Stegostoma tigrinum: one gene and its partners. The protein of the gene in region 1 purifies or fractionates together with the protein of each later gene. This does not show direct contact. Links are inferred from orthologs where the notes say so. Each region holds a gene or a part of one and is shown in the gene's direction. Other genes may lie near its edges.

Region 1 (6,831 bases):
ACAATCCAAGGAATAAAAGTTCTATCCTGGCCAACCTCTCCTATAGCTCAGGTACTCAGGTTTACTAGTCCTGGCAACATCCTCGTAAATCTTCTTTGCACATTTTCATGTCTAACTATGTCTTTCCTATAACAGGGTGACCAAAACTGTACACAATACTCCAAGCGCAGCCTCACCAACGACTTATACAACTGTAACGTAACGTCCCTATTCCTATAATCAATGCCTGGTGTGTGCGATTCGGGCCAGGACATGGGAGAGTTCAGGCCTTAAAATTATTGAACTCGATATTGAATCCGGAGGGCTGTCAGGTCCCCAGGCAGAAAATAAGGTGTTGTTTCTTCAGCTTTTCCAGTAACACCCTCATTCCAGGAATTCTCCTTAAACTGAGATAACAAGGCGTAGAATTGGATTAACGCAGCAGTCCAAGCAGCATCTTAGGAGCAGGAAAGCTGCCATTTCGGGCCCAGACCCTTTTCTGATACAATGTTAACCCTCCTTTAACTGTTCTTATCACAGAATTGTTATGACACAGATGGAGGTCATTTGACCCATTGAAGCTGCATATGCTCTTCAAATTCAAACATCTTCATTACCTAGTGGAAATCTCCTGTTTTCTTCTCATTCCCTTGCACACTATTTCTATCTTAATAATGATCAAATATCCTTGAATATCTCAACTGAACTTGCCTCAATCATATTTCCAGGCAGTGCATTCTATATCTCAACTATTCACTGTGTGAAAAGATTTTCCTCAGTCTTTTGTGCATCTATGCCTTCTAGTTTCTAATGCAGCTATGTCTATTCCTAAATAAGGAGCCCAAAACTGTACTGCGGATACGGTCTCACCAATGGTTTTTTCAACTAAAGCAAAACATCCCACTTTCACATTCTATTCTCCTTGCAAAAAAATCAAATGCTAGGACACCTAGGTCCCTTTGCACCTTAAGGATTTTTCAATCTCTCTCCATGAAATAATACACTGCTTTTCCTGCCAAAGGGGACAAGTTCACTTTCTCACATTATACTCCATTTTCCTGTTCTGCTAACTTACCTAAATTCCATTGCAGACTTTGGCAGAGCCTACCTGTCTTTGTGTATTAAGCAAGATTTAGCAATGCATTTGGCCCCTTCAGCCGAGTCACTGACAGAGACCATAAGTAGAAGCAGGGCCATAAGACCATTAGACCACAAGACACAGGAGTGGAAGTAAGGCCATTCGGCCCATCAAGTCCACTCTGCCATTTAAATCATGGCTGATGGGCATTTCAACACCACTTCCCTGCACTCTCCCAGTAGCCCTTGATTCCTTTTGAGATCAAGAATTTGTCGATCTCTGCCTTGAAGGCATCCGACGTCCCGGCCTCCACTGCACTCCATGGCAATGAATTCCACAAGCCCACCACTCTCTGGCTGAACAAATGTCGTCTCATTTCAGTTTTAAATTTAACCTCTCTAATTTTAAGGCTGTGCCCACGGGTCCTAGTCTCCCCGCCTAACGGAAACAACTTCCCAGCGTCCACCCCTTCTAAACCATACATTATCTTGTAAGTTTCTATTAGATCTCCCCTCAACCTTCTAAACTCTCATGAGTACAATCCCAGGATCCTTAGCCGTTCATCATACGCTAAACCTACCATTCCAGGGATCATCCGTGTGAATCTCCGCTGGACACGCTCCAGTACTAGTATGTCCTTCCTGAGGTGTGGGGCCCAAATTGGACACAGTATTCTAAATGGGGCCTAACTAGAGCTTTATAAAGCCTCAGAAGCACTTTGCTGCTTTTATATCCCAACCCTCTTGAGATAAATGACAACATTACATTCGCTTTCTTAATTATGGACTCTACCTGCAAGTTAACCTTTACAGAATCCTGGACCAACACTCCCAGATCCCTTTGCACTTCTGCTTTACGAATTTTCTCACCGTTTAGAAAATAGTCCATGCCTGTATTCTTTTTTCCTAAGTGCAAAACCTCACATTTACTCACATTGAATTTCATCAGCCATTTCCTGGACCACTCTCCTAAACTGTCTAAATCTTTCTGCAGCTTCCCCACCTCCTCAGTACTACCTGCTTGTCCACCTATCTTCGTATCATCGGCAAACTTCGCCAGAGGTGAACAGCTGTGGCCCCAACACTGAACCCTGCGGGACACCACTCGTCACCAGTTGCCATTCTGAGAAAGAGCCTTTTATCCCAACTCTCTGCCTTCTGTCAGACAGCCAATCCTCAATCAAGCCAGTAGCTCACCTCGAACACCATGGGCTCTCACCTTGCTCAGCAGCCTCCCGTGAGGCACTGTAGCAAAGGCCTTTTGGAAGCCTAGATAGATAACATCTACCTGGTCTAACATACTTGTTACCTCCTCAAAGAATTCTAACAGGTTTGTCAGGCACAACCTCCCCTTACTAAAACCATGCTGACTTGTTTTAATCTGACCCTGCACTTCCAGGAATTTAGAAATCTCGTCCTTGACAATGCATTCTAGAATTTTACCAACTACCGAGGTTAGGCTAATCGGCCTATAATTTTCCATCTTTTGCCTTGATCCTTTCTTAAACAAGGGAGTTAAAACAGCAATTTTCCAATCATCTGGGACTTTCCCTGACTCCGAGATAATGGGAACTGCAGATGCTGGAGAATTCCAAGATAATAAAATATGAGGCTGGATGAACACAGCAGGCCAAGCAGGAGCAATTTCCCTGACTCCAGTGACTTTTGAAAGATCACGACCAAAGCCTCCGCTATTTCCTCAGCCACCTGCAGGACCCTGCAACATTGATCTGGGGGAAGAGGGGTGGAGGCATTCCACTTGTGACATCTTGCCCAATGAGAAAAAACCATTCACAAAGGCTCAATAATGAGGAAGTACAATTTTAAGGTGAAGGATGAGAAAATTAGAGGGGATTTAATGATTTTTTGTTTTCACTCAGAGAGTAGTGGGAATCTGGAATGCATTCCCAGGAAAAGTAACCTCATGATCTATTTTAAATGCGGAAGAGCACCTGAAATGCCATAACGTTCAAAACTACGGGCAGTTGCCAGAAAGTGAGATTACCACAGAAGGTTTTTTGTCAGTGCAAACTGGATATACTCAATGATTTCCCCTGTATTACAGGCCTAACTCTTGGTTTTTGGGCACACTAGGATATTAGCCCTTGGCACCATGAGTTATCGAAGAACCAGAGACAGCAATCTACGCTCCCCCCTCCACAACACTGCAGCAAAGGATTAATTCACAACTTATATTTTAATAATAGTTTTTCCTGATGAAGGGTCTGGACTCGAAACATCAGCTTTCCCGCTCCTCTGATACTGTTTCAGAGATAATGGGAACTGCAGATGCTGGAGAATCCCAGATAATAAAGTGTGAAGCTGGATGAACACAGCAGGCCAAGCAGCATTTCAGGATTGTGCTCAGCACTGTGCTCCTGAGATGCTGCATGGCCTGCTGTGTTCATCCAGCTTCACACTTTATTATCTCTGATACTGCTTGGCCTGTTGTGTTTATCCAGCTCTACACCTTGTTATCAGCAGCTCCTACTACCTCTGGTATTACAGCGCTCAGGAGCACTTGGCACTTGAGCCTCCGTCTCACGGACGAGAGGCGGGACCTCTGCCAGTGCGCCACATCATCGCGGTCAGCCCATCCGCACGTCACGGGGTAAGCCGTACTGCGCACGCTCGTGGCCGGCGAGCAAATCCCCGGGGCGGCGCCTGAGGACGCGCACGCATTTTGGCGTGCGCTGATTGGGTGCGCGCACGTCGGCGTCCTGCAGAGCTCGAGTCAGGCGGAGGGAAAGAGAGAAAAAAAAATCAGCCCCTTTTACCCTCCCCCCCCCCTCCCCCTCATCCCGGAGAGGATCGGATAAGCGCCATCAGGCAGCAAAGGCTCTGAGTATCAGCCCTGCCCCCCCCCCCCCACGACAATGGCCAGATTGGAGCAAGTACTGATCCTCGATCCGCCCGTCGAGCTCAAATTCAAAGGTGACTGACGCTCGCACCGACATATTTATTTATGTGTTATTGTTACTCTGCATTACACGGACCGGGTGCCGCTCGTCTCACACATTCACACTTCTTCCGTTTTCTTCGCATCCTTCGCTACTGCGGCTGTGGCCCGCCGCCGTAGTTTGCCTTGTCCCGGGTGGGTGGCTGGGAGCTGGTCCTTCAGCACCTATCCTCATCCTTGTTCCCCCCGCCGCCCCCCAACCAACCAAGCTCCGGGGTATTGGGAGGCCCCGGCCGGCTCCACTCGAATCCCCCGGCAGTTCGCTCGCTGCAGCCGCCATTTTGGTAGCGCGGACTAGGCCGCGCCTGGATCCTCGGCTTCGTCGTGATGGTGGTGGCGGCGGCGGCGTCTGCCGCGGCTGGGTTCGGTGTGAACTGAGTGTGCCGCGATTTTCCGCGAGGATCGTCTCGGTTCGGTTCATTCTTTTTCTCGCGGATGTCAGCTTTGCTCCGAGGCCGGGTGTTGCCGGGGGAAGGTGGAATGAGTCAGTTTATGCAGAGTGGGCCCCACGTTACCTGGTCTTTTTAAAAATTATTTTATTATTGCTGGCTGAAATCGGAAACCAGCTCTTTTGAGTAGGGGAAAGGTGCCGAATGCTGTGCTCGCCCCAGAGCACATGGGATTCGGAGGCTGGAGATTTTTTTTCATCCAGATTGCATCCTTCACGCGTTTAGCAGCCGTGGTCTATTTTCAGCAACGTCTCTGTGCACAGATATTCAACCTTACTTCAAAATATTTAGAATTGCCATTTGTAATAGTGGAAAACAGTCTGCTGAAGTGCCTCTTAGGAACATAGAAAGATGACAAGGAGCAGATAGCACTTAAAAAAAATTACTGAATGGTTCAGTAATTTTTAATATTTTAATTAGGAGCTAGACTTCTAACAGTGTATTGATACATCGAATCCTTACCCTGTGTAATGGGATAGCCTTCGTGTGTGTTTTTATAGATATAGTTAGCTGAATAATTATGGCAGAAATAGCAGACAGTTCATACGGTGGTTTTAAGTATTTCTATTTCGTAATTTTTTTACGTTCTAAGAAATGTGTTCAAACAGAAAAAAGCTTCAGGCTTAAATACCAAAATTAAGTTTGGGATAACTAGATACTTGTGTTCGAGTCTGGAGATTTTGCAGTGCTGGGAATAAGAACAGTTTCTCTCAAACTTATTTTCAAGTCCTGATGCTATATTTGGGTCATGGCTGTTTGAGAAGAGCCTCAGTATGTCTTGACCTGTATGCTTACCTTAATGTGATGTTGCATTGCTAGTCTCTTTGACACTTTACCATAGAACTAACTAGCTCCACCCAAAGTGCCAACGAGGCTGTTGGAGACATGACTGAGCTGCAATCTCTGCCCTTTGGCACCAAGTGGATTATGTTTCTTAAGATCATTAGTATGACATGATCTTGCACTTTCTTTGGCTAGGCTTCATTCCAAAGAACAGATCGAGTAAGTAATTTATGCTCTTGTCTTAATTGCTGATTCCAGATGACATTTAAGTTTGACCTTTTTAAAAAATGCTGCTAATTTTCGCTCAAATGTATTGTTGCTGAAAATTAACATAATGTTTTGTCATAAATAAATTGCTCAGTTTGTCAAATTTTGAATAAGGAGGAAAAGTCAGTATCAGTAAAGACTAAAATGGACTTGACAGATTTACATTTGTCTTTTGAAATCTTCTATTAAGAACTGGAATGACTGAAATGTTTTATCCTCTTCAGGGTGAGATTATGGCATTTGTTTTCTGGAGTTTGTGTGACATGTTGAAGCTTTCTTCAGCCTGCCATTGTTTAGGTATTTTATTTCTGATTTAACTAAATTATGCGGAGAAAGTAGTTTTCAATGAAGGAATTTAAATTGCAGTTGCTATGCTGAGTGAAATCAAGCAGTTTTTACCACTCACCACTCTCCACCATCCCTTGTCAAAAATCTGGGTTTTCAACTTTTATTTGACCTTAGACTCTGGAACGTGATAAGCCACATGGTACCTTTCACACCTCCTATTCACCAATGGCTTTGAAGCCTCTTACTCGGGTCTGGAAATTCCTTTGAATTCCACCTTGCTGTTTTTGATCATAACCTCTCTGAAGGGATGTTAATGTTGTGATAATGCTGCTGGATGAATGATTTACAGATGCGACTTCAAATCTCACCACAGCTCAAACTCAGAAAGTTAAAAAGTCTACTGCAGGAAGTCCTTGATTTTTGACTCTCGCAACAGTGAACTCTGATGGCATCAGGTTCAGCTCAGGCAATGCTGGATTACCACCTCCTGTCCTCCCTCCACTGAAAAATCTATGTACTTCATTGTTGAATACTGTCTGGGAGTAATGTTGAGAATAGGAAGGGCACGATTTGTTCTCTGTGAGAAAATTCAATGAGCAATTGTAGCTTTGTAGCTCCACTACTGACTGAGCTCCCAAGGTCATAAATGCTGTGTTGAGCCTGTGACAGCAAACAAGGGAACCAACAAGAGGGACAAGGAAGACCTCGTTCGCACCAATCTATCTGTCACGGATGCATTCCTCTCTGACAGCATTGAGAGGAATGACACAGACTGTGGGGAGATGGAGTCCTGCCCTTTTTGAATATCTGTTCCACTATCTGTGTGGCAGTTTGACCATGCTGAGTTGTAGGAGATGCCACAAGTATCCCCATCCTCATTGATGGTGGGACCTAGGATATCATTGCATTAGACCAGGCTAGAGCATTTGCACGTATCATCAGTCAAATCTATCTGGACTTGCAAAAGGCCTTTGATATGGTGCCTCATGGGAGGCTGCTGAGCAAGGTGAAGGCCCATGGTGTTCGAGG
Region 2 (7,905 bases), on another chromosome or scaffold:
ATAACAATTTATTTATTTAACTATCACAGAGAACACATTAACATATTAACAGAACTACTAACAAACCAAACAATTCACCATTGACTCCCAACCTCCTATGCTCCAATGAACCTCCTCTGGATCCCCTCCAAGGCTAAAGCATCCTTTCTTAGATACATAAGAGGCTACTGAATGAAGATTCTGAATCAAACATTATCACAGATAAATCACTATCTGATTTTATTTCAAAATTATGAAAAGTTGGGGAGAAATTAGTTCTGCAAAACTAAAAGTGAATGGAGCTGGGATCATCATCTCTTTAGGAAATTGTTAGGGGGAAATGATGGCTCAGCGGTACTGTCACTGGACTAATACTGGGAGAATGGAAGAGAATGGAAAAGCACAACATCTTTAAAGCTGAGAAACAAGATAATGTCAATATGTGGAAAGATTGTGTGAGAATACACACAGATCACATGGAAAAGTTAATCTGCAGACACTGTGAACAAATGGAAGGAGAATAAGAAGAGGAACATTTAAAAAATAGGAACAGAGGTAGAGTTTGCAGCCCTTTGACCTGCTGTACCATTCCTTACATTTGATCATCCAAATCATTTGCTAGTTCCCATTATTCGTTCATATCCCTCGATTGCTTTAGGTCCCAGTGCTGCATTCAACTCCTTAAAATGTTTGGCCTTGACTGTTTTCTGTGCTAGTGAATTTCACAGGCTTACCACTTTTTGCTGAAAAGATTTCTCGTCACTTCAGTCCTAAAATGGCCTACCCCATGCCCTTAGGCTCTGATTCCTGGTTCTGGATTCACCAGTTATTGGGAGCATCTTTCTGGCATCGTCCAAATCATACTGAGCATTTTGCGTCCTCATCACAGTTTATCCTCCGACATGGCTTCGTGTCACAGTATCTTGGCCTTTGTTACCCAGGCAGATGGAGTATAAAAGTAAGCACGTTTTATACAATTACATGGGGTTTTGAAAAGACCACACCTGAAGGTCTGTTCACAGTTTTGATCTCCACAGAATTTACTTATTTTAGAGGGATCTTGTGGTGCAGTGGCACTGTCTCTACCTCTGGGCAAAACATTCCTGGTTCAAGTCCCATCTACTTCAGAGGTCTGTCATAACATGTCCAAACAAGTTGATTAAACATATCTATGTAATATGAGACTTAATAAAGGTTCACTTGATTGAACCTTCAGTTAGAGAGAAATAGAAGAGCACCATGTAGAAGCAGGTGTAGACCATTTTGATCTTCGAGCTTCTCTATCATTTGACGAGATCATGGCTAATAGTCTAACTCAGTACCCTGTTGCTGCTTTCTCTTCACACTCTTCAATCTTTTTAGCCCCAAGAATTATATCTCCTTCTTGAAAATATACTATGTTTTGACTTCAAACACTTTCTGTGGAAGAGAATTCCACAAGTTCACCCACTCTCTGGGCGAATAAATTTCTAATCTCACTTCTAAATAGCTATCACATACCTTAAACTGTGATTAAATAGTAGGGACTGCCGATGCTGGAGAATCTGAGATAACACGGTGTGAAGCTGAAAATGGGAAGGGTCCCGACCTGAAACGTCAAACTTTCTTGATCCTCTGATGCTGCTTGGCCTGCTGTGTTTATCCAGCTTCACGCCATGTTATCCCTTAAACTGTGATACCTGGTTCTGGACTCCTTGATCATCAAGAACATTCTTCCTCTGTTTACCCTGTCTAGCCCTGTCAGAATTTGATACCTTTAAACTTGCTATGAATTCCTTCAAAACTTGATGGGACAAATGCTGAAAGTCTGCCTCCATGAATAGAGTATCTAGAGTTAAGGATCACAGTTTCAGGATAAAGTTGAGCCATTTAAGACCAGGCTGAGGAGATATTTCTGAATAAAAGAGGGGTTGAATCTTTGGAATGCTCTAATCTGAAAGACGATGGATGCTTACATTATGACTGTGTTCAAGACAGATTCAATACAATGTGGAGTCAGGCAGCATCAGAGAAGCAGGCGATAATGTTTCAGGTCAAGTCCCATCTTCAGGCTTGGAAAGGGGCAGGGAGCTTGGAAATAAATAGAGGGAGGAGGGGAAGATAGGTGGGATGGCGACAAGTAGATGCAGGTAAGGGGTGGTGGGGAAGATGGACTGGTTGCATCAGGTCAAGGAGGTGGGGATAGAAAGCGAGTTGGACCTGCGAATGAAGCCGACAGCAGGGAGATATTGAAACAGGCGAAGTGACACAACCCACGCCCTCCACCTCCTCCAGGACTTCCAATTCCCTGGCCCCCAACACCTCATCTTCACCATGGACGTCCAGTCCCTATATACCTGCATTCCGCATGCAGATGGCCTCAAGGCCCTCCGCTTCTTCCTGTCCCGCAGGCCCGACCAGTCCCCCTCCACCAACACCCTCATCCGCCTAGCCGAACTCGTCCTGACCCTCAACAACTTCTCTTTTGACTCCTCCCACTTCCTACAGACTAAGGGGGTGGCCATGGGCACCCGCATGGGCCCCAGCTATGCCTGCCTCTTTGTAGGTTACGTGGAACAGTCCCTCTTCCGCACCTACACAGGCCCCAAACCCCACCTCTTCCTCCGGTACATTGATGACTGTCTCGGCGCCACCTCTTGCTCCCCAGAGGAGCTCGAACAGTTCATCCACTTTACCAACACCTTCCACCCCAACCTTCAGTTCACCTGGGCCATCTCCAGCACATCCCTCACCTTCCTGGACCTCTCAGTCTCCATCTCAGGCAACCAGCTTGTAACTGATGTCCATTTCAAGCCCACCGACTCCCACAGCTACCTAGAATACACCTCCTCCCACCCAGCCTCCTGCAAAAATTCCATTCCCTATTCCCAATTCCTCCGCCTCCGCCGCATCTGCTCCCACAATAAGACATTCCACTCCCGCACATCCCAGATGTCCAAGTTCTTCAAGGACCGCAACTTTCCCCCCACAGTGATCGAGAACGCCTTTGACTGCGTCTCCCGCATTTCCCGCAACACATCCCTCACACCCCGTCCCTGCCACAACCGCCCAAAGAGGATCCCCCTCGTTCTCACACACCACCCCACCAACCTCCGGATACAACGCATCATCCTCCGACACTTCCGCCATCCACAATCCGACCCCACCACCCAAGACATTTTTCCATCCCCACCCCTGTCTGCTTTCCGGAGAGACCACTCTCTCCGTGACTCCCTTGTTCGCTCCACACTGCCCTCCAACCCCACCACACCCGGCACCTTCCCCTGCAACCACAGGAAATGCTACACTTGCCCCCACACCTCCTCCCTCACCCCTATCCCAGGCCCCAAGATGACTTTCCACATTAAGCAGAGGTTCACCTGCACATCTGCCAATGTGGTATACTGCATCCACTGTACCCGGTGTGGCTTCCTCTACATTGGGGAAACCAAGCGGAGGCTTGGAGACTGCTTTGCAGAACACCTCCGCTCAGTTTGCAACAAACAACTGCACCTCCCAGTCGCAAACCATTTCCACTCCCCCTCCCATTCTTTAGATGACATGTCCATCATGGGCCTCCTGCAGTGCCACAATGATGCCACCCGTAGGTTGCAGGAACAGCAACTCATATTCCGTCTGGGAACCCTGCAGCCTAATGGTATCAATGTGGACTTCACCAGTTTCAAAATCTCCCCTTCCCCAACTGCATCCCTCAACCAGCCCAGTTCGTCCCCTCCCCCCACTGCACCACACAACCAGCCCAGCTCTTCCCCCCCACCCACTGCATCCCAAAACCAGTCCAACCTGTCTCTGCCTCCCTAACCTGTTCTTCCTCTCACCCACCCCTTCCTCCCACCCCAAGCCGCACCTACTAACCTCATCCCACCTCCTTGACCTGTCCGTCTTCCCTGGACTGACCTATCCGCTCCCTACCTCCCCACCTATACTCTCCTCTCCACCTATCTTCTTTTCTCTCCATCTTCGGTCCGCCTCCCCCTCTCTCCCTATTTATTCCAGAACCCTCACCCCCTCCCCCTCTCTGATGAAGGGTCTAGGCCTGAAACATCAGCTTTTGTGCTCCTGATGCTGCTTGGCCTGCTGTGTTCATCCAGCCTCACATTTTATTATCTTGGATTCTCCAGCATCTGCAGTTCCCTTATCTCTGAAGTTATTTCCCAGCTCCCTTCCCTCTCCTCAGTCTTGAAGAGTCCCAATCTGACACTTTAACTTTTCTGTTCCCCCTATGTTCAAGACAGAGATCTTGAAGACTCTAGAGTACTACGTAAATCAAGAAAATGATTAACATTTGATGGGGACATTCCGCCAATACTTATTGAATATGGAAGCAAATATGATGGCCAAGTGGTTCGCTCTTGCTTTATGTTCTCAAAATGTTCTTAATGTTCAGAAATAATACTCGAGATTACATTCAAGCACGTCTTTATTCATTTGCAGGATGTGGGCATCATGCTAAGCTGACCATCTCCAATCTCTTGAGAAGCTGGTTAGTGGGCCACTTTCTCGAATCACAATTTACAAGGATTACCACAAATCCTCGCGTTTTGCTCCACTTATCGGAATACCGACTAGAAATTGTAAATTGAGAATATTTGGTTGGTTGGATACGACAAACGAAACCGCAATTTTATGGGAGCGAACTACTTCCTTCTGTACATGTTTCAGAAAAGTTTTACATCCGACAAGCAGGAAAATTGACTATTCGCGTCGAGATCTTTCTTCGCGGTGGAGGGAGGGGTGGGAGAGAAAAGATTTTTTTTAAGTGTCGTTATTTATGGGGACATCAACAGCGCCGAAGTGGTAAAGTTAGTTCACCATTTGGTCTTTTGTAAAGAGGTATAGTCAGTTTTACAGGGGACTGCGCCGCTCGTGCGTGGACGTCCAGGCGCACGTTCCCGCTTTACGTAACCGTGCGCGAGCTCCAGCCGAGGGAAGGAAAGTACAAGCTCACCGAGACGAGAGACGGAGTCAGTGTCTCCAGGAATTCCGGACTCCAGTACGGAAAGGGAAGGGCTGCTGTGGACTGTTATGGGGATAGGATCACGAGGAAGCCAAGGCCATACAGCGCCCTCCGGCCATTGTGACAGGGTAGTAGAGAGCTGTACCCTTGTCAGGACCCACAGTATGCGTGCGTGACACGGAGACCCTCCTGACTTGACCTGACTGGAAAGGGAGAGAGTGCCAGGCGAGACGTCTCCTGGACGCGTATGCGCCACCGAGACGGGGCACCACGTCACTGCCAGCGAGAAGTCAGCAGATTTGATGAAGGAGGGACTCGTAGCGACTACCTGACAGAAAGTGGGAGGGGAGGAGGGGCAGCTGTGGGGAGGGGAACTAGTCCGCTGGTTTAACTCACTGACAGCGGCGGGGACAGCAGCAGTGGAGTATTTCTCTCGGTCGCCCTACGCCTTCGGACGGTGTGGCTCGATCACCGGACGTTTGTTAATCGGAGCGTTCCATCGAACGTGCGCGACCCATCCCGCCCCCCTCTCCACTGCCCGGCGCCGCGAACTGGCTGCACGTCCTGGCCGCCGCGGTGCGAACTCTGTTCGCCTGTCACACTTTTTATTTTCGCGCTGTTGTTGTTTATAAACCCATCCCGTCCCCTTCCTTTTACTCTTTCCTCCGAAAAGAAAACGACAGCCAGCTTTTGTCGCGGTCGATGTTTAACACTGAGAAAGTGGCTCCTGGCGGCGCTGCTGCTGCAGCTGCTGGTGGTGGCGGTGGTGGGAGAAGGTTCTCTGGTTCTACGGGGGAAAGGGGGTCGTTGGCGCTGAAAGCAAACACCCAGGATAGGGCAAAGACCAACTGCAGCAGCCCGACCTCAGCAGCTGCAGCCGCGGATTCGTTGCGGGTAGTCCGCGAGGACCAGCAGAACCACCACCACCGTCATCCGGAAGCTGGCAAGGTTGTGGAGGGTTTACTCAGCAAGTACACCAATCTGATCCAGGGCTGGCAGCACAGGTACGAAATTAGGGAGAATGTGTATACGACTTCGTTTGGGAAATACGTTGGTAGCAATCTGCGCTTGTCGTTAATTGTATGAAATACACTCTCAACTTGAGTAATTCACCCATTATGTCTCGACATAGTGGCGAATGCGGTATAAAGGGAGATTGCAAGAACTGCCGATGCTGGATTGACAGTGTTCCGAAATTTTAACGTTCCTGCATGTTGTAATATGAGCTAAAATAGATTGATCTTCACAGAGCTAGTTGGACAAATGATTGAACTCGTGCCTCAAATAGGTATGTTTTTAAATAATACATCAAGCCCAAATGACCTTTTGGTTGAGGTAATCATTTAGTACGCTCTCTAATGGGTGCAGTGTGCTGATTAAAACCACTTTCCTGGTTACTACAAATATAATGAGATCCAAAATTGACAGCTCAAATCTCCTCATCGGCTTGTACTCATGAGGCATTATTTGAGTAGAAAAAATGGAAAAACTATAGTGAATTGCATGGAGATGATGTACTGTGAATTTCTGAGTTTGAATGTAGTAATCTGAAGTCTGTATGAATTTAATATATCAAATAGTTTAATGAGTAACCTTTCCACCTTCATTTCGTTATGCCTTCTGTGATCACTACGCATTGACGTGGGGTTTATTCTCTGCTTCGTACAGTGTTCCAGCAATGCTCAATATATAATGGAACTGAAATTTAATTTTAAATTCACTGTTTTACGAAGGCAGGTAATGACTTTAAGGCTGTGTTTCCAGGCTTTTGAGTACTGATCGTAAACAATCTGAACTTTGCTTATGCTTGTCAAACAACTTTACACCAGCCAACAGCCATGGAACATAGAACAGTACAGCACAGTACAGGCCCTTCGGCCCACTAAGTTGTGCAGAACTTTTACCCTAATTCTAAATTCTATCATTCATATGCCTAGCTAATAGCTGCTTAAATGGCCCTAATGAGGCTGACTGCACTACCCTCTCCAGCAATGCATTCCACGTCCCGACCACTGTCTGAGCAAAGAATCTACCTCTGACGTCTCCCCTATATCTACCTCCACTCATTTTAAAACTATGCCCCCTTGTAATAGCTACCTCTACCCTGGGGAAAAAGTCTCTGGCTGACGACGCAATCTGTACAGTAATGCCCAGGAGGAACTTGTTACCTTTACCTAGGCTAGCCAAATGAGATTCCAGGTACACACAGTTTTAACTGCATTCTGAAGTGTCCCAGCAAGTCTGCCACTGTTTCAAGAAGTTGCATCACCAGCATTTGTCAAGGCCAGTTAGGAATAATCAATAAATGCTGTCTTTGCCAACGACATCCCAATTCCTTTCATGAATAAATGTTTAAAAACCTTTAGGTGGAAGAGAGAGACAGCAGATCATATGGCACATCATCTACTCAGCAACACCAAATAAGCCAAGAAAAATAACACTTCTTTCTCAAATGTAGAAAATGCCATTTCTAAGGGGAACAAGGAATTTATTGTGGCAGCTGTCTGTCCAAATGCACACTTAAAGTGGTCAGTGTCGATTCAACCTCCTGGCTGGGCAGAAACTTTCTTGTCCCTACCATGAAGGTTACCCTGTGCACCAACCTCACTTATTTTTAGATGAGTTAAAACCACAAGCATCACAACAACTTATGATACCATGCCAGCAACTCTCAACAGCCATCAGGAGCACCAGCTGACAGGAGGAAAATGAGGGAAGAACAGCAAGAGTTCATGGAAGCGAGAACACAAAAAAAGGAGATACCTCAAATACTATAACACTGCTGTCATAATTTGCCAATCCATTCTTACTGTGAATGAGCTTTTTTTACCAAGCTCAGACAGTAAGAAAAAAAAAACTTGCACTGAATGTAGATAGAAATTTCTATCCCTGTCACTCTAGCTGCTTGCTTGGGCCCCTGAAGTTTGAAACATTGCTGGCTCCTTGGATGTTGAGTACACTTTATTGTC
Region 3 (7,135 bases), on another chromosome or scaffold:
GAAGGGTGATGTTTCGGGCCTAGGCCCTTCTTCAGAAATGTCAGCCTTCCTGCTCTGCTGATGCTGCTTGGCCTGCTGTGTTCATCCAGCTCTACACTTGTTATCTCAGATTCTCCAGCATCTGCAGCTCCTGCTAATTCTGGACTTGGATATGAGATGACACTGAACACTGGCAATTAGAGACAGGCCAATGTGATCTGGTTGCTATGGGGAAAGAAACTCAAACAGAAATCTCTTGATATATCAAATGGTAGTCTTCATACTTGCGACTTCTGCTATTTTAGACTGACGGAAAGACATGGCAGAGCAGGAGAAGCAAAGCAGCTGAGTCCAAGGGAAGAGAGAATTGTCTGATGTTCACCAAGCAGGATCTTTGTGAGGGTTGGTGTTCTTTTTGAAATGATGGAGAGAGAATTGATAAGGTATTTGGAGATTGAGGGAGCAACGAGTTGCCAAGGTGGGTCTTGCTAATGAAAGTCAGTTCTGAATTCAGATGGGTGGAGTTGTCTTTGGAAGTTTCAATGTGGTGCGGAAGAGAGAAATGCACCTGCTGGAGAGCCAGGAGTTAAGTCTGCCAACTCTCAGAGGAGGTACCAGTAAGGCTTTCACCTGAACCCTCCATCAGGTAAGGGACATGTACTTTCCTGTCTGGATTAGTCCCAGGAGCACAATATGGTGAGCACATCATTGATGTACCTCCGCATCTGATCAAAGAAGCAATAGTTAGGCTTTCTGACACTGAAAAGACTACTGGAGACCAGGCACCTGCTCAGCCCCAGCCAGAAGATGGGCCCATGGACTTGGATATTAGTGACTTTATCAAACACAGAAAACAGGAGCAGAAGTAGACCAGAGATAATGGGAACTGCAGATGCTGGAGAATTCGAGATAACAAAGTGTGGAGCTGGATTAACACAGCAGGCCAAGCAGCATCTTAGGACCACAAAAGCTGATGGTTTGGGCCTGGACCTTCATCAGTGAGCAGGATGGGGAGAGGGTTCTGAAATAAATAGGGAGAGAGGGGGAGGCGGACCGAAGATGGATAGAGGAGATAGGTGGAGAGGTAGGGAGAGGATAGGTCAGTCTGGGGAGGACAGATAGGTCAAGGGGGTGGGATGAGGTTAGTAGGTAGGAAATGGAGGTGTGGCTTGAGGTGGGAGGAGGGGATAGGTGAGAGGAAGAACAGGTTAGGCAGGCAGGGATGAGCTGGGCTGGTTTTGGGATGCAGTGGTGGGAGGGAAGATTTTGAAGCTGGTGAAGTCCATATTGATACCATTGGGCTGCAGGGTTCCCAAGCAGAACCTGAGTTGCTGTTCCTGCAACCTACGGGTGGCATCATTGTGGCACTGCAGGAGGCCCATGATGGACATGTTGTCTAAGGAATGGGAGGGGGAGTTGAAATGGTTCACAACTGGGAGGTGCAGACTGGGAGCTGTAGACCATTTGGCTCTTACTGCCTGCTCCACCATTCAATACAATTATGGTTGATCATTCAGCTGAGTACCCTGTTCCTACTTTCTCCCTATATCCTTCGATGTCTTCTAGGAACTATATCCATGTCTTTCTTGAAGGTCTTCAATGTTGTGGCCTCAATGGTTTCTTGTGGTAGAGAAGCACTGCAACAGCTTGCAGGTTTGTAAGTTGCAGTCAGTAAAATGGATCATAGGATGAAGGAGTTTGCCAACATTGTAAGTGCTGTGATGGTTCTGTCCTGTTATTTGTAAATGTTGTGGTGCAGAAATGCAGTTGGGCTACACACTGCTTCATTTGATAACTCAGCTGAGATTTCTGGCCCATTCTCTCTGGAATCATGGGTGCAATCTTTTGTGAAGCATCAGATTATTTAGCTACTCGTTACCTGCTCAGTTAACAGGCAAATATTTATGTTACATAATGCTTCTGAATACAGAGGGAATCAGCAGCAGCCAACAATTTTATTCAATGGACTATCTTGTGCCATCACCCTTCATTAAGAAAGTGCCACAAATCCTGTGTCATCTCATTGTTGCTAGTGTTGCACCACAAAATAGCTCTGTGCCATCTTATGATCGTATATGTTTGCCCGTGCGAAAAGCATTCTTCATGTGATGAAATTTAATTTTAAAAGAGGCATTATTTTTCAGACAAAGTATATTGTTTGGAGTAGCAATAACAAAAAAACTGTGCTGAAATGGTAGAACACAGTCACTGCAACATTGAATGTAAATATTGACTTAAATCACTGTATGTTTAATTGCGCTCTATAGTTCTGGTACATGTTGAAGTTTGTTCCAGAATTAACACCATTATTAGGTGATAAAACAGCTTTTATGAGCTAAAACCAATATATAGCCCAATTGAACTTACAAAATCCAAAAAAGTTACAGAAAATCATTAACGTTACAATTACCTTATTGTTAACATAATACACTGCCTGAAAAGGTTTTGAAGGTAGATTCAATCATTGCTTACAAAAGGGAATTGGGTATCTGCTTCTAAGGGAAACATTTGCAGTGCTTTCGGGAAAGAGCAGGTGAGGGGGATTACTTGGTTACTCCCAAAAGCCAGCATGATGGTCGAAATAGCTATCTATGCTATGTGGTTCAACAAGTTCTCACAGGAATACACAACTTATGAAAACAAAACTTGTTAAGTGTTAGATACACAAAACAAAGGCAGAAAATATTCAGGGAGAGAGGGGGAGGCGGACCGAAGATGGAGAGTAAAGAAGATAGGTGGAGAGAGTATAGGTATAGGGAGGGGATAGGTCAGTCCAGGGAAGACAGTCAGGTCAAGGAGGTGGGATGAGGTTAATAGGTAGATGGGGGTGCGGCTTGGGGTGGGAGGAAGGGATGGGTGAGAGGAAGAACCGTTTAGGGAGGCAGAGACAGGTTGGACTGGTTTTGGGATGCAGTGGGTGGGGGGGAAGAGCTGGGCTGGTTGTGTGGTGCAGTGGGGGGAGGGGACGAACTGGGCTGGTTTAGGGATGCAGTAGGGGAAGGGGAGATTTTGAAACTGGTGAAGTCCACATTGATACCATTAGGCTGCAGGGTTCCCAGGCGGAATATGGGTTGCTGTTCCTGCAACCTTCGGGTGGCATCATTGTGGCAGTGCAGGAGGCCCATGATGGACATGTCATCTAGAGAATGGGAGGGGGAGTGGAAATGGTTCCCCACCTGTAGGGGTTCTATGATGATCCCTTCCTCAGGCATAGTGTGTGAAAGAGGGTATAAGACATGGAATTTATGAGCAGAAAGGAAACAAGCCTAAAAGTGGCTGCCTCTTGGTGAATCTTTAATCAGTTAGGAAGAAGACTACAGATTAAAATGTAAAATCCAGATTCCTTTCAAGTCATTGTCCTGAGATAACTAAAGGTTTTATTAATGTATACAAGTGGTGACATCTCAGGTCAGACATTACATTTTAGGTGTGAGGTTTTAAAAAATCCCATTTAAAAGACAGATTCAAACAAACCAAGATAATAAAATGAGGCTGGATGAACACAGCAGGCCCAGCAGCATCTCAGGAGCACAAAAGCTGACGTTTCGGGCCTAGACCCTTCATCAGACCGTCAGCTTTTGTGCTCCTGAGATGCTGCTGTGTTCATCCAGCCTCACATTTTATCATCTTGGATTCTCCAGCATCTGCAGTTCCCATTATCACAGATTCAAACAAACCTGTTGGACTATAACCTGGGGAGGTTTGATTTTTGACAACGTCCACCCCAGTCCAACAACAGCATCTTCACATTTTGATTGAAATAGGGAAGCGAGTGGAAACTAACCATTTGCGTGAAGGTGTAGAGCTGGAGGAACACAGCGTGCCACGCAACATCAGCGGAGCAGGAAAGCTGGGCCTACTGCGTTCCTCCAGCTCGACACCTTGTTATCTCAGACTCTCCAGCATCGGCAGGTCCTACTATCTCTAACTGTTTGAGTGCTTTTTTTTAAAGAAGCAAGGTCCATTCGTAGAGCCCAGCCGAGTCAAGAAGCCACCAGCCACAAAGCTCCCCTAACCCGGACAACAGCACCCTCTCACACAACCGGACTGAAGGCTGCTCAGCACCTCCGATCCAACTCACGGCTAGAGAGCAAAGCGCATGCCCGTCTCCGACAGCCGGTTCTGCGCGTGTTCTTCCTTGCCACGGCTGTGAGTGCTGCGTGTGCTGGGGACAGGGGAGAGTGGGCAGTGCGCATGCTCTGGGCCTCGCCTGTCTCCGACGCGGGTTTCCGTCCCACTGTCTTCAGTCAACGGCTAGCAGCTCCGGGCTGGACCGGGAGGGTAAAATTGCCCTGTCTCATGTCAATGGCGTCCGATACCAGTGACGCTGAAGAGTTTTACGATGCGGCTGAAGATGTCCACGCGGTCCCATCGCCGGCCGCGTAAGTAGCGATAATGAGAGACTTAAGGGAGGGGGGCCTGACCCGGGGACAGTTCGTAGTGCCGCAGGGAGTACAGCCCCGGCCTGAGTAACCGTCTCTCCCGCTGTGCACTCCACCCTTCCTCTACTCACCCCGCGCACCCCACCTCCCTTCCTCTACTCACCCCGCGCACCCCACCTCCCTTCCTCGACTCACCCGGCGCACCCCACCTCCCTTCTCTTCTCCCGCCCCGACTACCTTTCTCTTCTTCTTCCCCACACCCCCCCCCCCAAACAACCGCCTTGCCCTTCTCCCACCCCGGGACCGCCATTGCCCTTCTCCCACCCCGGGACCGCCATTGCCCTTCTCCCACCCCGGGACCGCCATTGCCCTTCTCCCACCCCGGGACCGCCTTGCCCTTCTCCCACCCCTCCACCCCGGGACCGGGACCGCCTTGCCCTTCTCCCAACCCCGCCTTGCCCATCTCCCACCCCGCCATCCCGGGACCGCCTTCCCCATCCCCTTCACCCACCCCGCCATCCCGGGACCGGGACCGCCTTGCCCATCTCCCACCCCGCCATGCCCATCTCCCACCCCGCCATCCCGGGACCGCCTTCCCCATCCCCTTCACCCACCCCGCCATCCCGGGACCGGGACCCGCCTTGCCCTTCTCCCACCCCGCCGTCCCGGGACCCGCCTTGCCCTTCTCCCACCCTGCCGTCCCGGGACCGCCTTGCCCTTCTCCCACCCCGCCGTCCCGGGACCGCCCTGCCCTTCTCCCACCCGGCCGTCCCGGGACCGCCTTGCCCTTCTCCCGCCCCGCCGTCCCGGGGCCGTGGCCGCCTTGCCCGTCTCCCGCCCCGCCGTCCCGGGACGGCCTTGCCCTTCTCCCACCCGGCCGTCCCGGGACGGCCTTGCCCTTCTCCCACCCGGCCGTCCCGGGACGGCCTTGCCCTTCACCCACCCGGCGGTCCCGGGACGGCCTTGCCCTTCACCCACCCGGCCGTCCCGGGACCGCCTTGCCCGTCTCCCGCCCCGCCGTCCCGGGGCCGTGGCCGCCTTGCCCGTCTCCCGCCCCGCCGTCCCGGGGCCGTGGCCGCCTTGCCCGTCTCCCGCCCCGCCGTCCCGGGGCCGTGGCCGCCTTGCCCGTCTCCCGCCCCGCCGTCCCGGGGCCGTGGCCGCCTTGCCGGTCTCCCGCCCCGCCGTCCCGGGGCCGTGGCCGCCTTGCCGGTCTCCCGCCCCGCCGTCCCGGGACCGTGGCCGCCTTGCCGTTCTCCCGCCCCGCCGTCCCGGGGCAGTGGCCGCCTTGCCGGTCTCCCGCCCCGCCGTCCCGGGGCCGTGGCCGCCTTGCCGGTCTCCCGCCCCGCCGTCCCGGGGCCGTGGCCGCCTTGCCGGTCTCCCGCCCCGCCGTCCCGGGGCCGGGGCCGTGGCCGCCTTGCCCTTCTCCCGCCCCGCCGTCCCGGGGCCGTGGCCGCCTTGCCCGTCTCCCGCCCCGCCGTCCCGGGGCCGTGGCCGCCTTGCCCGTCTCCCGCCCCGCCGTCCCGGGGCCGTGGCCGCCTTGCCCGTCTCCCGCCCCGCCGTCCCGGGGCCGTGGCCGCCTTGCCGGTCTCCCGCCCCGCCGTCCCGGGGCCGTGGCCGCCTTGCCGGTCTCCCGCCCCGCCGTCCCGGGGCCGCCTTGCCCTTCTCCCGCTCCGCCGTCCCGGGGCCGGGGCCGCCTTGCCGGTCTCCCGCCCCGCCGTCCCGGGGCCGGGGCCGCCTTGCCGGTCTCCCGCCCCGCCGTCCCGGGGCCGGGGCCGCCTTGCCCTTCTCCCGCCCCGCCGTCCCGGGGCCGGGGCCGTGGCCCCCTTGCCCTTCTCCCGCCCCGCCGTCCCGGGGCCGTGGCCGCCTTGCCCTTCTCCCGCCCCGCCGTCCCGGGGCCGTGGCCGCCTTGCCCGTCTCCCGCCCCGCCGTCCCGGGGCCGTGGCCGCCTTGCCCGTCTCCCGCCCCGCCGTCCCGGGGCCGTGGCCGCCTTGCCGGTCTCCCGCCCCGCCGTCCCGGGGCCGTGGCCGCCTTGCCCGTCTCCTGCCCCGCCGTCCCGGGGCCGGGGCCGTGGCCGCCTTGCCCATCTCCCGCCCCGCCGTCCCGGGGCCGGGGCCGTGGCCGCCTTGCCCTTCTCCCGCCCCGCCGTCCCGGGGCCGTGGCCGCCTTGCCCGTCTCCCGCCCCGCCGTCCCGGGGCCGTGGCCGCCTTGCCCGTCTCCCGCCCCGCCGTCCCGGGGCCGTGGCCGCCTTGCCGGTCTCCCGCCCCGCCGTCCCGGGGCCGTGGCCGCCTTGCCGGTCTCCCGCCCCGCCGTCCCGGGGCCGTGGCCGCCTTGCCGGTCTCCCGCCCCGCCGTCCCGGGGCCGTGGCCGCCTTGCCGGTCTCCCGCCCCGCCGTCCCGGGGCCGCCTTGCCCTTCTCCCGCTCCGCCGTCCCGGGGCCGGGGCCGCCTTGCCGGTCTCCCGCCCCGCCGTCCCGGGGCCGGGGCCGCCTTGCCGGTCTCCCGCCCCGCCGTCCCGGGGCCGGGGCCGCCTTGCCCTTCTCCCGCCCCGCCGTCCCGGGGCCGGGGCCGTGGCCCCCTTGCCCTTCTCCCGCCCCGCCGTCCCGGGGCCGTGGCCGCCTTGCCCTTCTCCCGCCCCGCCGTCCCGGGGCCGTGGCCGCCTTGCCCGTCTCCCGCCCCGCCGTCCCGGGGCCGTGGCCGCCTTGCCCTTCTCCCGCCCCGCCGTCCCGGGGCCGGGGCCGTGGCCGCCTTGCCGGTCTCCCGCCCCGCCGTCCCGGGG
Region 4 (7,853 bases), on another chromosome or scaffold:
TTAATCAAGATGACTAATGGAATGCTGGACTTTTTATTTAGAGAGCTGGAGAATAAGGAAGCAGAACTTATGCTGTAGCTATTAAAAATCTGGTCAGATCCCACTGTGAACAGAATGTGGGAACTTCACCTAGAAAAGGATATATTGGCCCTGGAGGCAGAGAGATTAGGAAGAACTTATACACATAAAGGATGGTAGAGATTTGGAACTCGCTTTGACAAATTGATAGCAGACTGGCAGTTGATAGTAGAACAGTTGTCAGTTTTAAATCTAAGATAATTTTTATTTGTTAACCAAAGATACTGAAAGACATGGACCAAAGGCAGGTAATATAGAGTTAGGCCACAGGTCAGACATGATCTGATTGAATGGAAGAACTAACGAAAGGGGCTGAATGGCCTATTCCTGTTCTTATGAGTGGCCCTATCACAATTAAACAGCTCGTGATGGTATCATTCAAGAGGTCATTGGAGTGCAGAATCCTCTCAAGTCGAGAGGGAAATTCACACAGAAATGTGAACAAATGAAACTGCGTGTGGAGCACGACAAAGCATTTGCTTGTAGAAACACAGTAAATCTGCAAGTTAATCAATTAAGGCATTATTGCATTCCCCTGTAACTCAGAGTGTTACCGGACTATTAGTAACATCTGATGGGAAAAATCATGTAAATAAAAACCAAACGGTCTTAAAATTACATAGACAATTTCTTCACTCTTTTTATCAATTATAAGAAATCCTTCTATGAGATGCATGCAGGATGATGGAGTATATGAGGCTCATAATGCCGAGTTGTGGGCAAGTAGTTAAGGCAATGGATTTGAAATTCATTGAGGACAAGCCTATGTTTATTTGAAACCTGCCGATTATGGTTCAGAATAATAAAATGTGAGGCTGGATGAACACAGCAGGCCAAGCAGCATCTCAGGAGCACAAAAGCTGACGTTTCGGGCCTAGACCCTTCATCAGAGAGGGGGATGGGGTGAGGGTTCTGGAATAAATAGGGAGAGAGGGGGAGGCGGACCGAAGATGGTGAGAAAAGAAGATAGGTGGAGAGAGTATAGGTGGGGAGGTAGGGAGGGGATAGGTCAGTCCAGGGAAGACGGACAGGTCAAGGAGGTGGGATGAGGTTAGTAGGTAGATGGGGGTGCGGCTTGGGGTGGGAGGAAGGGATGGGTGAGAGGAAGAACAGGTTAGGGAGGCAGAGACACGTTGGACTGGTTTTGGGATGCAGTGGGTGGAGGGGAAGAGCTGGGCTGGTTGTGTGGTGCAGTGGGGGGAGGGGACGAACTGGGCTGGTTTAGGGATGCGGTGGGGGAAGGGGAGATTTTGAAACTGGTGAAGTCCACATTGATACCATTGGGCTGCAGGGTTCCCAGGCGGAATATGAGTTGCTGTTCCTGCAACCTTCGGGTGGCATCATTGTGGCACTGCAGGAAGCCCATGATGGACATGTCATCTAAAGAATGGGAGGGGGAGTGGAAATGGTTTGCGACTGGGAGGTGCAGTTGTTTGTTGCGAACTGAGCGGAGGTGTTCTGCAAAGCGGTCCCCAAGCCTCCGCTTGGTTTCCCCAATGTAGAGGAAGCCACACTGGGTACAATGGATGCAGTATACCACATTGGCAGATGTGCAGGTGAACCTCTGCTTAACGTGGAATGTCATCTTGGAGCCTGGGATAGGGGTGAGGGAGGAGGTGTGGGGGCAAGTGTAGCATTTCCTGCGGTTGCAGGGGAAGGTCCCCTAACCTGTTCTTCCTCTCACCCATCCCTTCCTCCCACCCCAAGCCGCACCCCCATCTACCTACTAACCTCATCCCACCTCCTTGACCTGTCCGTTTTCCCTGGACTGACCTATCCCCTCCCTACCTCCCCACCTATACTCTCTCCACCTATCTTCTTTTCTCTCCATCTTCGATTTGCCTCCCCCCCTCTCCCTATTTATTCCAGAACCCTCACCCCATCCCCCTCTCTGATGAAGGGTCTAGGCCCGAAACGTCAGCTTTTGTCCTCCTGAGATGCTGCTTGGCCTGCTGTGTTCATCCAGCCTCACATTTTATTATCTTGGATTCTCCAGCATCTGCAGTTCCCATTATCTCTGATTATGGTTCAGAAGACTGCTTTAAAACAAATGCGTGCCAGTTTAATTACTGGGGCTCTTGTGGCAGAAGAGGCCTAGTTTCAAGTTACAACTGCTTCAAATGTGTGTCAAAACATATCTTATCAGATTGATTAGAAATATTTATATGAAGCTTATAGAAGAGATTAGTGTACAAAGGAGGTTGACATCCCATCAAGTTATGCTTGCCACTTGCATGTAACTTTTCTGAAATAGCCGCTGCCGATCTAAAGGTTTAGGAAAATGAAAGGAAAACTTCAGCACTACGCTTTATAGACATGGAAACTAGATTTAAACTTTCTACATTTACACCTGTCAAGAACAACAGGATGTTTAGAGACAGTCACATAGAAATGGCAAGCCTGCAGACATGGGCAATGACTAATTTCCAGATTGATAATGAAAAGGAATCTGCTAATGACCAGTTGATAGATTTGTGTGAAAACATGAACACCACAGTCATGAATATTGTTGCTGAAGTTCTTTTTTAAATAGTGAAAGGAATCACGTAGTGATTGATGAAATACTGCAGAGGGTCTGACCAGAGCAAGCAAGCAGAAAGTTGACAAATGCATTGGCATGAGCTGCTCATGCAGAGAATTTGCCTTGAATGTTTTGTTTTATTCATTCATTGTTAGTCTTGCATTTGTTGTCCATCTCAAATTGTTAACAGTTCCTTGTCAGCCACATTACAGTGGGTCTGGAGTCACAAATAGGCCAGACCAGGTAAGGATGACAGATTTCATGCCCTAAACAATATTAGTAAACCAGCTGGATTGCTATGACAGTCAACATTAGTCACACAGCCACCATCAACTGATTTACAATTTCATATTTTTATTAAAACCAAATTCTACCATGATGGTATTTGAAACCATTTGCCCAGAAAATTAGCTGGGAGTTCTGGATTAAACTCCAATGACATAACCACTGTGTGAGCACCTTCCCAAGGCCAACATTTGTTGCCTATCCGATTGCCACTTGAACAAATTTGCTGGGCAGAATATAGATGGGTTTTTATGACAATTGATTATAGTTTCACTGAAAATCTATGTTTCAATTCCAGATTTATTTGTTTAATTAGTTTAAATTCCACTGGCCATCACAGCAGGATAATGGATGTGAGTTTGCTCGCTGAGCTGGAAGGTTAGTTTTCAGATGTTTCATCACCATTCTAGGTAACATCATCAGTGAGCCTCCGAAGAAGTGCTGGTGTTATGTCCCGCTTTCTATTTATCTTATCATTATTAGATTATCAGGATCATCTGGAGTCCATCACCCTGGACTTCTGGATTGCTAGTTCAGCGACATCATCACTATGTTATTTATTACTACTTCCCCCTCAGTGAAACTTCATGGACTGACAAAAAGGGGTAAAAGAATGGAAACTAAGGATGTGCAATGTGAGTTCTCATAATGGATCCAAGACTGCACTTACATTGGAGAACAATCATGTACTTCATAGAGAGTCTCTGACCTTGACTGAAATTCTGCCTGACCTTATGAGGAATGAGTGCATTCAGATCCTGCCTGGCAAGCCTTGCACCTATTCATCACCAGGGAAGCTCATTTGGTTGGATAGCTGGTTTGCAATACACAGTAAAGTCAATAGTGTAGGTTCACTTCCAACACTGGCTGAGGTTACCGTGAAGGTCTCTCCTTCTCAATTTCACCCTTTACCTGAGATATGGTGTGACCCTTAGGTTGAACCAGTCATCTCTCACTAATGACAGAGCAGCCTTATGATCTGGTAGGATTATGGTACCTTTGCTTAACAAACAGAAATTGCTGGAGAAACTCAGTAGGTGTGGCAGCATCTGTGGAAGCTACTTCTAAAACAAGAAAGTTAGATTTAAAGTGATGTGCAAATGAAGCAAGAGTGATGTGGGGTAAAACAAAAGTTACACTGTGAGTTTACTGGGAAATGTGGTGGAGGCAGGTTCAAATGAGGCCTTGAAGAGGACATCCGACGATTATCTCGATATAAATGGCGTGTCGGGATATAGGGAAAAGGCAGGAGATTGGCACCAGCTAATAAAAAAGGTGCAGGCTAACTCTTGTCGCTCTATCCTACACTTCCAGCCCACTCCTTTAAACAACATGAAGATAATGATTTCAACTATAATTTTAATTACGTGTGTTCCTGTGCTACCTAATATTACGAAATAGTGTAATCCAGGGGCGATCTACAATGTGCCTTTTGGATGCTCACGATGCAGTCCTTTAAAAAGCAAGAAGACAATTTCTCCAGGTCCCTTATGTGCGTTTCAGCTGTTTTCCTTTCGCCAAAAAAGCAACATATCTCATTCAGCTTACTTAGATTCCGACCAGTGAATTTCCCACACAAATATTACCGTATTATTTGAAAATTCATCGTATGATTTAAAAAACAGCCATAAACACCTTCACGAATTATTTGTTTCAATACCTCAACGCAGTTTTATCTCATTTGGGACCGTTCAAATCAACTGCCCTCGTCACTCGCTGATCAAAATTAAAACTGTCAATAAGTATTTCTTGTTTTTTAATACCCTCTCCGAAGACCAGGATTCCGGTAGAGTGTTATATTTAAAAATAACTTAAGCTTGCCGCTATGAAAAAAAACTCCTCTTTACTTCACTGAATCCAACTGTGGTTCTGCTGACACCGACGAGCACCCGCAGCTGCGGAAGCAAGCAAAAGGCGGCGGTCAGAATTGAGCGCGCTCAACGTGAGCGTGCATTCTTTTTCCGATGAGTTCGGAGAGTTGTCGTTGGAGTAGTGAGGGCGTCACTCTGAAAGAGAACGAGGCATCGCTGCTCGCGCTAGTTCCGGTTCGCTGCAAGATCGTTTTCTTTTGAATCCTTTGGTTTGGTTGTGGCGCTTGGCGTTCGTGCTGGTTAGCAGCAGCAGCGGAAGCGGAGGCGGCCCAGTCGGGCCGAGAATGGTGCTCGGAAGACGATGGTGTTCGAGTCTTTAGTGGTCGAGGTTTTGAACCGTTTTTTGGGGGATTATGTGGTGAACTTGGACACCTCGCAGTTGCAATTAGGAATTTGGGGAGGTAAAGTTTTTAATTTGCGCGTTCGCCTCATATGCTGGATCTATATATAATGTCTGGGTATTTGACAAGTACCTGCGTGAGTAGCCATCACAGGGTGTGGAACCCAGCTCCCTGGAGAAGAGTGATCCGCGCACCAGGATCCTGCTGTAAAATGCACCATGGCAATTTTCTTATCATTTTTTGAAGAAATGATTGATTTGAGTAGTTCGCAATCAAATAAATAAATATCATTGTTTTGCGTATTGTTTGGCGAAATATTTCATGTTGCAAAGCAGCAAGTAGCTTTTTGTGCAAATGTTTCTTCAGTGTTGCATGAATTTATATTCCGATCTTTTCAAATTTTAGTGACTGTACATATGTATATACTAGATAGATGCTGCTCGCTGTGTTTATATTTAATTTGATACAGAACTAGCACTTATACGTAACGAATACTTTAAACATGTCGCCATGGATTATACAGCTTGCTATCTTTTCATTTCTTCTTTCTGTGCTTCTCCAGTACATACAACTGGTATTACCTCAGTTGCAATCATGTAGACACACGTCTTTCTGTGAATGTTGAAAACACAAGTACACATTAAACCTTCTCTGGTACTTGTCAAGCAGCAGCGAATTTGAAGAATGGCGTATAACTCGGGAGTTGTAAATTCCGAAAGACAGGATTAATAGGTTTAGACAACCTGAAAAAACGGGATTTTCTTTTTCCTTCCAATGCTTTATTTTCAATTTTTCTTTCAAAAAATTATGGTGTCACTGCTGACATGATTTTTGATGTTTTGCGACAAGGATTTGCTTTAATTAGCCTGATGTCCGGTGGACCAGTGTAACGTGACAAAGCTGCTGTTATGTGCTCTTATGTTTTAGCATATGTTTTACAGCAAGTACGTTGGAACAATTTATTTGCTATGAAATGTTATGGCAAAATATTTGATAATTAGTATTACTTCTGCAACCTTAAATTGTATAGTAAAGATAGCTGCAAGCACAAAGTGTTATGTTATGGTTCATGCATTTAAATTTACACAATTGAAAGCAGTTTACAGAAGGTTTGCTATGCTGATTCCAGCATGAACCTCCTGCATGAATCGGTTGTTTTATGTGGAAGTGTTTTGTAACTTGGCCCTATACTCATTGCTGTTGCGAACAATTCTATATTCTGTTTCAACAGAATATTCTGAGGGGCTTGGCAAATCAAATCCTAGAATCCTGACAGCCTCAGGTCGATCTCAAGGATATTTTCTTTTTGCTTAGGAATTTTGTACTCGATGTTATTGAAAAGAACAATCTTCCTGTTAAATCAGAGATAGTAAGAACTGTAGATGCTAGAGTCAGAGATAAGTGTGGAGCTGGAGGAACACAGCAGGCTGGGCAGCATTAGGAATTCTGAGAAAGGGCCTTGACCTGAAACGTCAACTTTCCTGCTCCTCTGCTGTCTGGCCTGCTGTGTTCCCCCAGTTCCACATTAGATTGTCCCCTTTTAAAACAGTGTGATCCTCAGATCAGAGATTATACACAATCAGTGAACCTGCTCCCTCAAAGAGCACTGGGGATTGTGCAAGAACTAACATTTCTTTGTGAAATGACATCTTGCATGGTTGTATTAAATGGTTGAGCAGGGCCAATGCGTCAAGTGGTCTTGCTGCTCCTACCTCTGTTATGATCTCATTGTAGGGCTTCCCAAGGTAGGGATCAGGACCCCAAGCAGGGTCGGGAGCCGTGAGGAAGCAATGGCCACTGTGGAGCCCTGCCCTCGTGACCTTCTGCACAGTGGCTCACATCTTCTGCACTGTGTTCTCCATGTTCACTGAGGGGGTCATGACAATTAAGCATTAAAATGGGGTCATAGTCGGTAAAATGTTAGAGAAGCTTTGTCTTCTAGATTGAAGTTGATATATCTGACAGTTCAAAGCACCTGTGGAGGAAGAGCTGACGATGTGTGAAGATAACTCATTGAAAGCAGAAAGGGGCATAACTTGTCAAACTTATGTTCGGTATAGCCAATAATCATATTTGAAATTTGAACACTTACAACATGGTCAAGCAATAATCGAACTGGTTATTCTCTATTTATAGAATTATATTGTCTCATTAGGATATCCAGTCATATCTTGAAACCTGGTACAGCCCTGCAGAATGTAGGCATTAACTTGGATTGAGGCAATGCTGATTTATAATTATTTTCAAAAAACTTTTAAAGTTTCAGAATGGATAAGAGTGTACAGGCATAAAGCAGTAAGATCAAACTTTTTTTTCCTTTTTTGATCTTTAGATGCTGAGCTACTTGTTACATCCATTTGAAATACTGTTTTGAAACTTCTCACCATTAAATTAGAAATTATTCATGCACTGTTGTTATTCAGAATACAGTCCTACATTTGTTACTCCCTGACCATTATTTTACTGGTTCCAATAACCCATATAAAATAAATTGCTAATGTTCCCATTAAGTAGTGGTTAGAGGAATGTTTGAGGGTTAGTTTTAGATTAGCATATTGGTCTATGACTACTGTGGTGAAAAATGACCACTCTTGAGTCTGATGCGAAATAAAAGCAGAATGACAGCACCTGCAGTTCTATCAGGAACAAAAACAGAAGTTGCTGGAAAGACTCAGCAGGTCTGGCAGCATCTGTGAAGAAACAAATCAGTTAATGTCTCGGGTTTCGTGACCCTTCCTCCAGAATTGTTCAGTCAGT

The links.
Region 2: the proteins of vapal (region 1) and oxysterol-binding protein-related protein 10 purify together in Homo sapiens (co-immunoprecipitation; 4 studies listed by BioGRID and IntAct, counting the BioPlex papers as one, with this or other methods). This does not show direct contact. The link is inferred for Stegostoma tigrinum from reciprocal best matches to the Homo sapiens genes VAPA and OSBPL10.
Region 3: the proteins of vapal (region 1) and wdr44 purify together in Homo sapiens (affinity purification with mass spectrometry; 3 studies listed by BioGRID and IntAct, counting the BioPlex papers as one, with this or other methods). This does not show direct contact. The link is inferred for Stegostoma tigrinum from reciprocal best matches to the Homo sapiens genes VAPA and WDR44.
Region 4: the proteins of vapal (region 1) and vps13a purify together in Homo sapiens (co-immunoprecipitation; 3 studies listed by BioGRID and IntAct, counting the BioPlex papers as one, with this or other methods). This does not show direct contact. The link is inferred for Stegostoma tigrinum from reciprocal best matches to the Homo sapiens genes VAPA and VPS13A.

The regions. Positions count from the first base shown.
Region 1 is NC_081358.1:115,000,407-115,007,237, forward strand, and holds the start of vapal (VAMP (vesicle-associated membrane protein)-associated protein A, like), read left to right. Parts: upstream 1-3,831; 5' UTR 3,832-3,932; coding exon 3,933-3,990; intron 3,991-6,831. UniProt on the Homo sapiens protein: Endoplasmic reticulum (ER)-anchored protein that mediates the formation of contact sites between the ER and endosomes via interaction with FFAT motif-containing proteins such as STARD3 or WDR44.
Region 2 is NC_081355.1:27,335,474-27,343,378, reverse strand, and holds the start of oxysterol-binding protein-related protein 10, read left to right. Parts: upstream 1-4,895; 5' UTR 4,896-5,638; coding exon 5,639-5,940; intron 5,941-7,905. UniProt on the Homo sapiens protein: Probable lipid transporter involved in lipid countertransport between the endoplasmic reticulum and the plasma membrane.
Region 3 is NC_081368.1:69,285,380-69,292,514, forward strand, and holds the start of wdr44 (WD repeat-containing protein 44), read left to right. Parts: upstream 1-4,116; 5' UTR 4,117-4,173; coding exon 4,174-4,361; intron 4,362-7,135. UniProt on the Homo sapiens protein: Downstream effector for Rab11 which regulates Rab11 intracellular membrane trafficking functions such as endocytic recycling, intracellular ciliogenesis and protein export.
Region 4 is NC_081356.1:64,816,810-64,824,662, reverse strand, and holds the start of vps13a (vacuolar protein sorting-associated protein 13A), read left to right. Parts: upstream 1-4,845; 5' UTR 4,846-5,056; coding exon 5,057-5,156; intron 5,157-7,853. UniProt on the Homo sapiens protein: Mediates the transfer of lipids between membranes at organelle contact sites. Binds phospholipids. Required for the formation or stabilization of ER-mitochondria contact sites which enable transfer of lipids between the ER and mitochondria.